Pelodiscus sinensis: one gene and its partners. The protein of the gene in region 1 interacts with the protein of each later gene in a pairwise test. Links are inferred from orthologs where the notes say so. Each region holds a gene or a part of one and is shown in the gene's direction. Other genes may lie near its edges.

Region 1 (3,749 bases):
AACCTACTACTATTTTACTATTTCAAATGTATTTTTCTCTTTTTTCCCCCGTCACTAGCCTTTAAAATGTTTGACCTTATATTTGTGCTGTATTTCATTTTGCAAACGTTTTATTGTGTTCTGAATGGAGTTGAACTTAAAAGTGTTGACAAATCAAAGTATGAACACCATATACACCTCTCAGATATCCATTTTAACAGGGAAACTTGCTAACCTACGGGAACCACTCAACTCAAGTACTAAAGATCAAGACGTTCTATTCACAAAGCTATAAAAAGGGTCTTTGAAGAATAATGGGGGAGGCAGCATATTTTATACAAGGCCCCTGTGATCTAACAAACTGAGGATTAGCTACAAGCATGTTTGAAAATGGTCTTAAAATTCTGCTATGTTCTATGAACATTGCTGTACATTACAACCAAGTCCAAAAATAACTATTAAAAGGTTTTATTCCAAAACAACTTTGACGCTCAAAAACGTATCTGCGGCCAACTCCCAGACCAGGATCGGACGCCAGCAAGTTCTCTGAAGACAATGGCAACCTGTGGGCTCAAACCATGGTGGGGAGGAACTGCGTTCAAAACCTTCTAAGAGAAGGGGGCGAGGACAACGAAATCGCAGCGCGCTTGTGACCGCGTAAGGAAGGCTTAAAACCACGTGAAGCTCGAAATGTCTGAGCAGAAATCAAAGCCCAACGTCCTGCAGTTGAGGGAGGAAAGCGAAGTCCCAGGGGGCGTGTCCCCCTCAGACACACCCCGGACCGGCTCCACACAGTTTTCACACCTGTAGTCAGGCGGGCGCGGGGTGCGATGCTAAACTGAGACAGGGGCCCGGAGCGGGGCGAAGAGGAGGCCTCCGCGGGAGGGAGTCACCCCGGGCAAGAGCCTGGTTCCCGCTGTGCCGGCCTTAACGGAAATAACCACTCGCATCCTTGGAGAGCGCGGACGGGCAACCGCAGCGGCCCCGCTCCAGGCGTCACTCGCCTCGCGGGTCTTTCTTCCCCCGCCCCCCTAGATTGACGGCTCGGTTGAGCAACGAGGAGGCCGGGGGGAGGCGGGATTTCCTGGGCGGGGCTGGGCCCCGTGTTGTGGCTGTGCTGACGAAGAGGGAGGGGTCAGTCAGGTGGGCGCTTCGTAGGGTGTGTGGGCGCCTCGGCCCGTAGAGACCAGCTGTCGCCATGCCCGGGATTGACAAGCTGCCCATCGAGGAGACGTTGGAGGACAGTCCCCAGGTGAGAGGAAGGGGACTGAGTCGGGCCTAGGGCTGCCGCAGGTTGGAAGAAGGGCCCAGGGGCTTTGCGCCCGGCTGGTGCCCTCGGGCCCCGTATCGGGCGCGTTGGCGGCATAATGAGCGCTAGGTTGGGAGGCAGGTTGCGTGGCTGACTGGTGCGGTGAAGGGGCAGGAAACCGCGGTTGTGGTGTCTGGGGCGAGCTCCCAAGAGCCCGGGGAACAACCATTGGCTCGGGGCACAGGAGCGTCCTGTAGGGTCTGCTTCTATTTTCTGCCTTGCTTTCCTTGGTGCTCTCCGCGCTGCTGTGAACTACAGCAGCGTCAAGCCATAAATGGACTCCGAGCTGCCCCTTTGCCACTGTGTGAACTGGAGCAGGGAGTCAATTAATGTGTCAGTTTCCCCATGACGTCATCCCTACCTTGAAGGTGTGCTCTGCATATTGATTGTTTATAAACTTGGAAGTTCATCATATGACACCCTATGCCAGTGTTTCTGGAGCAGGGCTCCGCGAGGTCGACAAACTGGAAACATCGATAGGTACAACACATACAATCGGTGGACCGCTGGGGCTCCGCATAAGTACAACACATACAATCAGTGGACTGCTAGGGCTCTGCATAATTTTTTATGCATGTAAAGGGCTTCGGAGCCCCAAAAGTTTGAGAACTGCTGCTCTATGCTATTAGTCCTAGGGCCCTGCAGAAGTGTGATACTTGTGGTGACTGTCTCTGGTTCCTAAGAACTTAATTTTAAAGTACAAATTGTTTTATTTTGAAATAATCCTCAAAATATTTGTTAATGTGAGTCCTGCCTCTCTGTCTCCCAGCCAAAACTTACACATTTTTGTAAAAAAGAAATTAAGATGACAGCTTGGATTCATGAAGTGTTTCTGAGAGCTATGCTTAGACTGGAAATACATGCTGCTGGCTTACAGCTTTTTAATTACACTAATTTCTTCACTCAGCTTTTATTGCTTAATCAGTTGTGCTTGATATTAAAGGAAAATATAGCTAAATAATAATGTTTTATAGTTTGCCTCTTGACATTGTGAACAATGTAACATCCTCAAGCCCAAACATAATATTTCATGCTAAGCAAACACTGCACTTATTAGCAGAGAAATGTGAGCCTACAGAACGATCATAGAATACTGGAACTGGAAGCTACCTCAAGAGATCATCAGGTCCATTTCTCTGCCCTCATGGCAGTACCAAGCACTGTCTATATCATCCCCGACAGCTGTCTGGCTAACCTGATCTTAAATATCTCCAGTGATGGAGATTCCACAACCTCCTTAGGCAATTTATTCCAGTGTTTAACCACCCTGATAGGAAGTTTTTCCTAATGTCCAACCTAAACCTCCCTTGCTGCAGTTTAAGCCCATTGCTTCTTGTCCTATCGTCAGAGGCCAAGGAGAACAATTTCCCCCCTCCTCGGCAGTACAGCTGGATCCCAGCAGGGGGGCTGTGTGTGCCAGCAGCGGTGTTGCCTTGATGGGGCCAGGGGCGCTGCATGTGGAGAAGCCAGCTGGGAGGCTGGCAGCAAGGCCACGACTGGGGGGCGCCGGTGCCAGTGCCAGCGGAGGCACAGAAATGACCTTTCCTGGTCTGGCAAAATGCCTCATCCAGGATCTATCAGGTCCCAAGGGTGCTGGACCAAAGAGGTCCAACCTGTATGGTTTAAAAAAAAAAATTAAAGTAAGGACCTGAATAATACCAGCCAGGTACAACTAGAAGGTTTACTTTATAGACAACCAAATGGATGTTTCAGTTTAAATAAAAGAGTGATGTGGAAGCTATTTTCTTCTTACTCATAAAAACTTACTTAGTTTTTTATTAAAGTATTTGAGTATCTGACATCAGCATTTGTAGAACCTACTGTAGTGTCTTTGCACATCATCCTAATACATTTTAGGACCGTTTCTTCCACTATAAAATTTGAGAGTGTACACACTATTGTATACTCCATTCTTGAGTGTAGGTTTTTTGTTTAACTACTTTAATATAATTTCTTTAAAGTATAAGTAGTCCACTGCTTAGTCAAATGTTCATGTATCTAATGCATTTTAACTTGTCACAGGGCAGACTCACCACCATGGAACCTCCAGCTGGCAGTCCCGGGAATTAGCTCTCCCACTCACTGGACGCCTCCCTCTAGCTGGTGTCTCCCTGTGTTCTTACTAATCCCTTTGGTCCTGACCCGTGTCACTCTCTGATCATGGCATCCTCTTCTGGACACTGCCCTCCAACAGTGCCCACTCCAGTCTCTCTGCACCCCCTTCTGGGGGGGAGGGGCAGAACTGTTGTCTACCCAACTGCGCACTCCACGGTCCTCCCCTCCTAAGGGGCACCCAGTTCTTCTCCTAGGGACCACCCAGTTCCCCTGTACCCACTTTGCCCCAGTTGATCCACTGTCAGTCTTCATAGGCAAACTGCAGTCTGTAATGGCCACTCATCACTGGCAAAGAGGTGTGGACCTGCTGCTTTTGCTTACCACAAAAGGTGTGGATGGGATAAAT
Region 2 (3,749 bases), on another chromosome or scaffold:
CTGGCCCCATTTCTGTGTGGTGAGGCCCAGAAGGCCTATTTCGACATGCCGGAGGAGGCTGCCACTGAGTATCCCCAGCTGAAGGCTGAGATCCTCGCCAGGTCGGGAGTAACCACTGCTATCAGAGCTCAAAGGTTCCATGAGTGGCAATATGGGAAGGGCAGAGCACCAAGGGCACAACTATTTGACCTGATCTACTTGGCCCTAAAATGGTTGCAGCCGGAGACCTACAGCCCGGAGAAGATTGTGGAAATTATTGTCCTGGACCGGTTTGAGGGACCTACCACCCGATCTGTGAGCCTGGGTCAGCCAGAATGAACCCTTCTCATATGACGACATGGTGGCCCTCATGGAAAGACAATTAATGACTAAAGGACTTTTGCAACCCCTCAGCAAAGCAGTCTGGAGAGACAAGATATTTGGACTAGCCCCAAAGGCCTGTGGCTCTAAACCCTCGAGTAAGACTTAGCCGGGGAAGAGGGAGACAGAAGAGCAGCCAGAGGCCGTAAATGGACTTGGGGACCAGGGGCAGGAAGGTCAGGGGTAAAACCCAGTAGCCCAAGAAATAGGGGGATGCCCTGGGAGGCCCCTGTAATCTCATAAATTTGGCAGGCATAGCAATGGTCCCCCATCTGTACACCCGACCTGTTAAGATGAATGGAATAGAGACCACGGCCTTGGTGGACTCAGGGAGCGTCGTTACATTGGTCTCTGGGCAGCTGATGGAACCAGACCAGCTGACCCATGCCAAGCGCACAGGGATCTCCTGTGTCCATGGAGATGTCAATTATTACCTTGTTGTCCCCGTACAAATAGAGATCCAGGGGAATGTCACAATGGTTGCAGTGGGGGTAGTTCCGAGGCTCCCATACCCAGTTGTGATTGGGTGGGACTTCCCTGGATTTAGTGACCTGCTCCCTACAACTGAGGGAAAGGAAGAGAGCCCCCTCCCAAGTTTTCATGAATTTTCCCAGGACCTATTTTCTGAGCTTGGGAAACCCCGGAAATCAAAGCAGAAAAGGAGGGCAGCCAAGAAACTGGGTACTTGAATTCTGACCCAGAACCTAAGGCAGGCCCTGGCCCGGGGGGAAACTGAGCCAACTGATAATGAAGCACTGAGAGAGGTAAACGAGCTGGAGGCTGGGCCTAGCTTAGCAGGGCCCCCTGGGATGAAAGAGGCTGAAGGTTCCCCAAAGCTCAGGCAGGTAGGGCCCTCGCTTGAAAATTTTGGACAGGACCAGGCCAACAACCCGCTGTATCAAAACATTCGTAGAGAGGTAGTTGAAGTAAACTGGATCCGTGTAGAAGGAAGGCTCAAGGGCCCTAGACCCTATTACATTATCAAGAGGGATCTACTATACTGAGTGCTGCCAGGCCCAGGACAGGAGGTGGAACAGCTCTTGGTGCCTCAGAATCACCGGCGAGCTGTGCTGGACCTAGCACACAGTCATTTATTTGGGGGGGTCACCTAGGAGTTGAGAAGACCCTAGATCGGATTTTAGGAAGGTTCTACTGGCCTGGGGTATATATATGGAGGCTCGGCGTTATTGTGCCTCTTGCTCTGAATGCCAGCTTCATGGGCCCCAGCCACACTTGAGAGCCCCAATGATACCCCTACCTATTATTGAGGTCCCTTTTTAACGCATCGCTATGGACCTAGTGAGCCCATTAGAAAAGTCAGCCTGAGGACACCGGAACATATTAGTGGTCCTGGACTATTCCACCCAATACCCTGAGGCAGTACCCCTAAGAAATACCCATTCTAAGACAATAGCAAGGGAGTTAGCTCAAATCTTCTCGAGGGTGGGGATACCCAAGGAGATCCTAACCGATCAGGGTACTCCCTTTGTGCGTGTAAGTTAATGAAGGACCTGTGTGCACTACTCCACATATGGGCTCTGAGGACGTCAGTATACCACCCGCAGACGGATGGCCTCGTCCAGCGGTTCAATCGCACCTTCAAGGACATGATCCGGAAGGTAGTGAGTCGGGACAGGAGAGATTGGGATTACCTACTCCCATGCCTCATGTTTGCCATTCGAGAAGTACCACAGGCATCCACAGGTTTTTCCCCATTTGAACTGCTATGTGGGCAAAACCCCCGGGGCCTTCTAGACCTTGCCAAAGAGACCTGGGAGGAGCAGACAAACCATGGACACAATATTGTAGAGCACGTCCTGCAGATGAAGGACAGGATCGCGCGGATAACCCCCATTGTAAGAGAGCACCTAGAAAAAGCCCAGCAGGCCCAGCAAACCTACTACAACCGTCAGGCAATGGTCCGGAAATTCCAGGTGGGTGATCAGGTAGTGGTGCTGGTCCCTGTGCACATTATGAAGGAAATGAGGTTTCATTAAAAAAAAGAACACCACAGCTTGGCTCAGGTTTCAGGTTGAGTTTACAGGACTGGCAGTTAGAAAAAGCACCTCTGATATTGAACAATTGAGAGACAATAAACATGGGACCCCATGATGCTATTTTTATTGTTCACCTAGAACTGTATTTTAACATAAGGGGAAGCATTTATCTTTTTTTCAGCTTATAACAAGATGAGCTGTGCTGCTGTAGGGGACAACCGCTACAAATGTGATTTACCTTCCAGCATCTGTTACTCAAGTTTTACAAACACAAATGCCTGTACTTAGTGCTTAAATTCTTATGGGTGCCCTGCTGGTCCACAAGGCAGACCATGTGAGTGAATTTAAGGCATAAGTATGACACCATCCACCCTCCATCTTAAAGACTACTCAGAAAATTCTGCATTCTGATCAGGCCCCCTATTGATAATTCTAGGAACGTCATAAAGTGGACAGCCCAGAGTTTCTGCCTGGAAACCCATTGCTCTCTGATACAAAAGCTTTGGCATGTCTCATTAAGAATGTAAGATCTCAGATTTCTCTCTTGGCATATAAATCAACTCCGGCCGTAAAGCTCACTTAACCAGTTGACTGACTCATGAGACCTAGGATATACTGCAGTCATGGTGTGTGATTGCAGCTTGTGTAGACATCTTGAGCTAGCTTTAATCTAGCTATTTTAGATACCTGGACTGTGGCAGCACTAGCTTTAGCTCAGGCTGTATATGTCAGCCAGAACACTGGATAGCTACTTGCAGGGCTAGATTGTGCTGAGGTGTACATAGCTGCAACATTGGTGCTAGATTAAAACTAGCTTGTGTATATTTACACAAGCTTTAGTCCCACTTTGTGACTGTAGTGTAGACATTACCTGTAGCTCCTAAGTCACTTTTACAAATAGTTTAGGTATTGTGGAGCACATTGCTCACAAGCTGCAAGTGCAATGCTGTTAATAGACTGCGGCTCTAGCAGTATTGTATGCACGTGTGTTTGGAGTTCCCTACTTCCCATGTACTGTGCACGGACATAATACAATTAGGGTTGCCAAGCATCCAGTATTGGCCCAGACAGTCCAGTATTTGCGGCTTCTGTCCGGTTTTAAAAAAAACATCTGGTGTATTCTGTTTTTCTCTGACAGAAGTCTGCTTGGGACATTCACCCCCTGCCATGTCTGGCGGGGAAAGCGGTGAGCGTGGGGATTTAGAGGCTCAGTGCCTCTTTCTTTTATGCCTTTTTTTTGCTCAACAACTTTGGTGCCCTGTTTTGTTTTTTTCCTCTCGACCAATTTTTTCCCCACCATGTTTGGTATTTTTTTTTTAAAGTATCTGGCAACCCTAAACACAAGGTTGGCATAAGTTAGCATGTGTTGGAGAAGTGTTTGTCATTTAACTC
Region 3 (3,749 bases), on another chromosome or scaffold:
CGAGTTGGTCATGATGTCCTTGGGGGCCATGGCGGCCCTGTTCTCCCAGCACGGGATGGGGCAGGGGGACAGTCTCTGATCCCAGGCCCTGCTCCTCCAGAAGCGTGGGGGGGGGGGGGGAGGGTGTCACTGTGGCCACGGGCCCCGCTCCCCCGGCACGGGGGGGGGGGGGGGTCACTGAGGCCCCGGGCCCCGCTCCCCCGGCACGGGGGGGGTCACTGAGGCCCCGGGCCCCGCTCCCCCGGCACGGGGGGGGGGTCACTGAGGCCCCGCTCCCCCGGCACGGGGGGGTCACTGAGGCCCCGCTCCCCCGGCACGGGGGGGTCACTGAGGCCCCGGGCCCCGCTCCCCCGGCACGGGGGGGTCACTGAGGCCCCGCTCCCCCGGCACGGGGGGGGTCACTGAGGCCCCGGGCCCCGCTCCCCCGGCACGGGGGGGTCACTGAGGCCCCGCTCCCCCGGCACGGGGGGGTCACTGAGGCCCCGCTCCCCCGGCACGGGGGGGGGTCACTGAGGCCCCGCTCCCCCGGCACGGGGGGGGTCACTGAGGCCCCTGGCCCCGCTCGGGGGGGGGGGTCACCGCGGGTGGCGGGACACGGGCCGGGATCTGGTGGCAGGTGAGCGAGGCCCCGAGACCAGGGAAGGGGCGGGGCTAGAACGCACCACGTGGGCAGCTGCCAGCTCTGCGCACGCGCCCAGCCGTGGGGAGGCCTAGGGCTCAAAGGGCGCAGGAAAAGCACTTTTAACTCACGCATCCAATCACATCGGCCGGGGGGTACCAGCGACCAATCGCGGGGAAGGTCATCACAGCAGCCTGTCGCCCGCCCCCAGCGGAAATGCTTGTGCCCTGAATCACGTGGGACACAGCGGCGGTGCTGCCTTTGGCGGAAGTGGCGTCACACCCGAGGCTGTTTCCGGTGTTGCCAGCCGGAGCCGCCGCTGCTGCTGCCCGGGATGTAGGGCCGGTGAGTGCGGGCGGGAAGGGGCAGGCGCGCGGCGCGGCTGCGGGCGGGGGGCCGGGTCCCCTCCCGGCGGGCTCGCTGGTGCTGCGGGCCCGGGGCCCGCCTAGGCGGCCCGCCGCGGGCAGAGTCAAGGCGGCCAAGGTGATGCCGGGGCAGCTGCTGCGGAGCCCGCCGGCCTGGCGCTGGGCTCCGTTCCCAGCGGCGCCTCGGCTCCCGCGGCTCTGGCCAGAGCGCGCCGGGGGCCCCGCGGCCCGACCCCCGCTCAGCGCCCCTACGGCGGCCAGACATTGACAATACAGGGCACGAAAACAGCCGGAATCGCTCCGTCCGATTGTCCCTCTTGCCCAATATCCCGCCTGCGGATGATGACTAATGCAAGGTGCTTCCGAGGGTGTGAACGGCGCCGGCAATGATCAAGTGAGCGATCCCTGCTGGTCCACACCCAACATCTGGGAAACCGGCTAGTGCAGGGGTGTCCAAACTTTTTTCAACGAGGGCCAGATTTGATGAAGTGAACATGCGTGAGGGCCGACCATTTTGCCTGACATTCTTTGAACCATTAAAATTAAATGCAAATTAACTATTTTACGCAAAGTTTATTGCAAACGACATACTTTTCATTTCGTCACATGGATGACAAATCTAAACAGGTGTTAAATCACTCTGCCTTTCATATCTGAAGGCCAGATGAAAAAAAAATCCAGGAAGCTGAAATATATGTCAGGAACATTGTAAAGTACATTACATATTATTGGTAATAAAGGTTGTCTGTCAACTTTTAAGTTCAAAAAATATGAACAGGAACATAACACCAAGTATACATGTTGTGTCCAAATATATTTTTAACTGATTTAGACCAACGGACATTAACTGAGATTTTACAATGTATTCATCTCAATTGGAAAAAAAACTTGCCTGCACTAATGTGAAGGGTGAAACTGAGATCTGGACTGCAGCACATAGGCTAGGTCTGGTTCAAAGGCAGTGGTTTTGATGCGCAAAATGTCACGCAGGTGAGAGTCACTCAGTCTTGTCCTCACGCGGTTCTTGTTAAACTTCATAGCAGAGAATGTCTTCTCACACATATGTTGAGCCAAACAAGCTCAGCATTTTCTTAGCCAATGTTCGAATCTCTTGAACCCGGCTCTTATCCAGTTGGCGGTAAAAGTTCACAAGAGAGAGCTGTTTGTGATGACTGCGTAACTCGCTGTCACAATGCAGCTCAATGAGCTCGAGCTGCAGCTGATCTGGAGCATCATCGGGGTCAACCGAGAATGGAGAGGAGAAAAGGCTGATCTCCTTTTCAATAGCTGCAAAATCCTGAAAGCGCCGTTTAAACTCCCCAGCCAGAGATGCGATGTCTGCTGCATACCTGCTCGTTTGCGCACTGATATTGTCCTGTGGAAAACTGTTCATTATTTCCTGCAATGCTGAAAAATGTATGGTATTGGGCTGTGTTTGTGACAACTGCCTTATGAAAAGTTGCAGCTTTGTTCCAAAGGCTTTGAGGTGTGAATAAAGCTGGTTCACCGCTGCATCTTTCCCCTGAAGACTCGTGTTCAGTACATTCAGATGCTTTGTTGTGTCAACTAGAAACCCCAAATCAGCCAGCCAAATAGGATCGGATAGTTCTCGCATTGATTGTCCCTTTGTTTCCAAGAATTCTCCGATTTCCTTTCTGAGAGAGTAGAAACGCTGCAGTGCAGACCCCCGACTGAGCCATCTTACATCGTTGTGATATAAAACATCTTCGTATTCAGCCTGGATGTCCAGTAGAAACTGTTTAAACTGGCGGTGGCACAGGGCTTTAGAGCGAATAAAATTAATAGTCTTTAGCACCGGTTTCATAACATGATCATATTTGAGATGTTTAGCACAGAGAACTTGTTGATGAATGATACAATGGAGTTTAATAGCTCTGCCTCCTTCTTCGATCACCTTGTTACAGATTAGGGTTGATAATCCACTTCGTTCACCAGCCATGGCAGGTGCCCTATCAGTAATAATCCCAGTAACTTTGTTCCAAGGCAGTTTCATGTCATCTATGGCGGAACTAACAAACAAATAAATCTTTTCCTCTTGTTTGGTCCGTAAGGCTCTGGAGGTCAAGTAGCTCTTCAGTCACATTCATTTCATCGTCCACCCCTCTCATAAAAATCAGCAACTGAGCTGTGTCAGATAGGTCCGTGCTTTCATCACAGGCTATTGAAAAGAAGTCAAAATCCACTCCTTTGGACGTCAACTGTCTCTTAATATCTGATGAAATCTCTTCAGTTCTCCGTGCTACAGTGTTACGAGCCAGGCAAATGTTGGCAAACTCTTGCTTCTTCTCGGGACAGATATTCTCAACCATTTTCATAACGCATTCTTTGATAAAGTCACCCTCAGCAAAAGATTTGCAATTTTTAGCAATTAACGTTGCCACCTCATAGCTCGCCCTTGTGGCATTTTCATTTGACTCACGGGCTCTTGTGAAAAATCGCTGTTGTGACATTAAAACAGCTTTGAGTTGCTTCAACTTTTCACTGCGGTCGCGCCGTGTTAGCTTGTCGTATGTGCTATGTCTCGACTGGTAGTGTCTCTTGACATTAGATTCCTCATAAACAGCCACAGTCTCTTGGCATATCAGACAAACACAGTGATTCCGTATTTCAGTGAAGAAATATTCCACTTTCCACCTGTCCCTCACTGTCAACTTTCCTTCTCTTATTTACAGTCGCCATTTTTGAAATTGACCAGAAGGGGAAGGGATCATGTGAGCGCAGTGCCAGAGGTTTTGGTCTAAGTG

Evidence for each region.
Region 2: the proteins of APPL1 (region 1) and UBE2O interact in binary tests that used the Homo sapiens proteins (3 or more experiments, as listed by UniProt). The two-hybrid records come from large-scale screens. The link is inferred for Pelodiscus sinensis from reciprocal best matches to the Homo sapiens genes APPL1 and UBE2O.
Region 3: the proteins of APPL1 (region 1) and ADIPOR1 interact in binary tests that used the Homo sapiens proteins (3 or more experiments, as listed by UniProt). The link is inferred for Pelodiscus sinensis from reciprocal best matches to the Homo sapiens genes APPL1 and ADIPOR1.

The regions. Positions count from the first base shown.
Region 1 is NC_134721.1:27,194,734-27,198,482, reverse strand, and holds the start of APPL1 (DCC-interacting protein 13-alpha), read left to right. Parts: upstream 1-896; 5' UTR 897-1,177; coding exon 1,178-1,231; intron 1,232-3,749. UniProt on the Homo sapiens protein: Multifunctional adapter protein that binds to various membrane receptors, nuclear factors and signaling proteins to regulate many processes, such as cell proliferation, immune response, endosomal trafficking and cell metabolism.
Region 2 is NC_134730.1:10,274,383-10,278,131, forward strand, and holds the start of UBE2O ((E3-independent) E2 ubiquitin-conjugating enzyme), read left to right. Parts: upstream 1-883; 5' UTR 884-1,862; coding exon 1,863-2,294; intron 2,295-3,749. UniProt on the Homo sapiens protein: E2/E3 hybrid ubiquitin-protein ligase that displays both E2 and E3 ligase activities and mediates monoubiquitination of target proteins. Negatively regulates TRAF6-mediated NF-kappa-B activation independently of its E2 activity.
Region 3 is NC_134737.1:16,712,397-16,716,145, forward strand, and holds the start of ADIPOR1 (adiponectin receptor protein 1), read left to right. Parts: upstream 1-820; 5' UTR 821-964; intron 965-3,749. Other genes in the region: KLHL12 (kelch-like protein 12), read right to left, coding at 1-30. UniProt on the Homo sapiens protein: Receptor for ADIPOQ, an essential hormone secreted by adipocytes that regulates glucose and lipid metabolism. Required for normal glucose and fat homeostasis and for maintaining a normal body weight.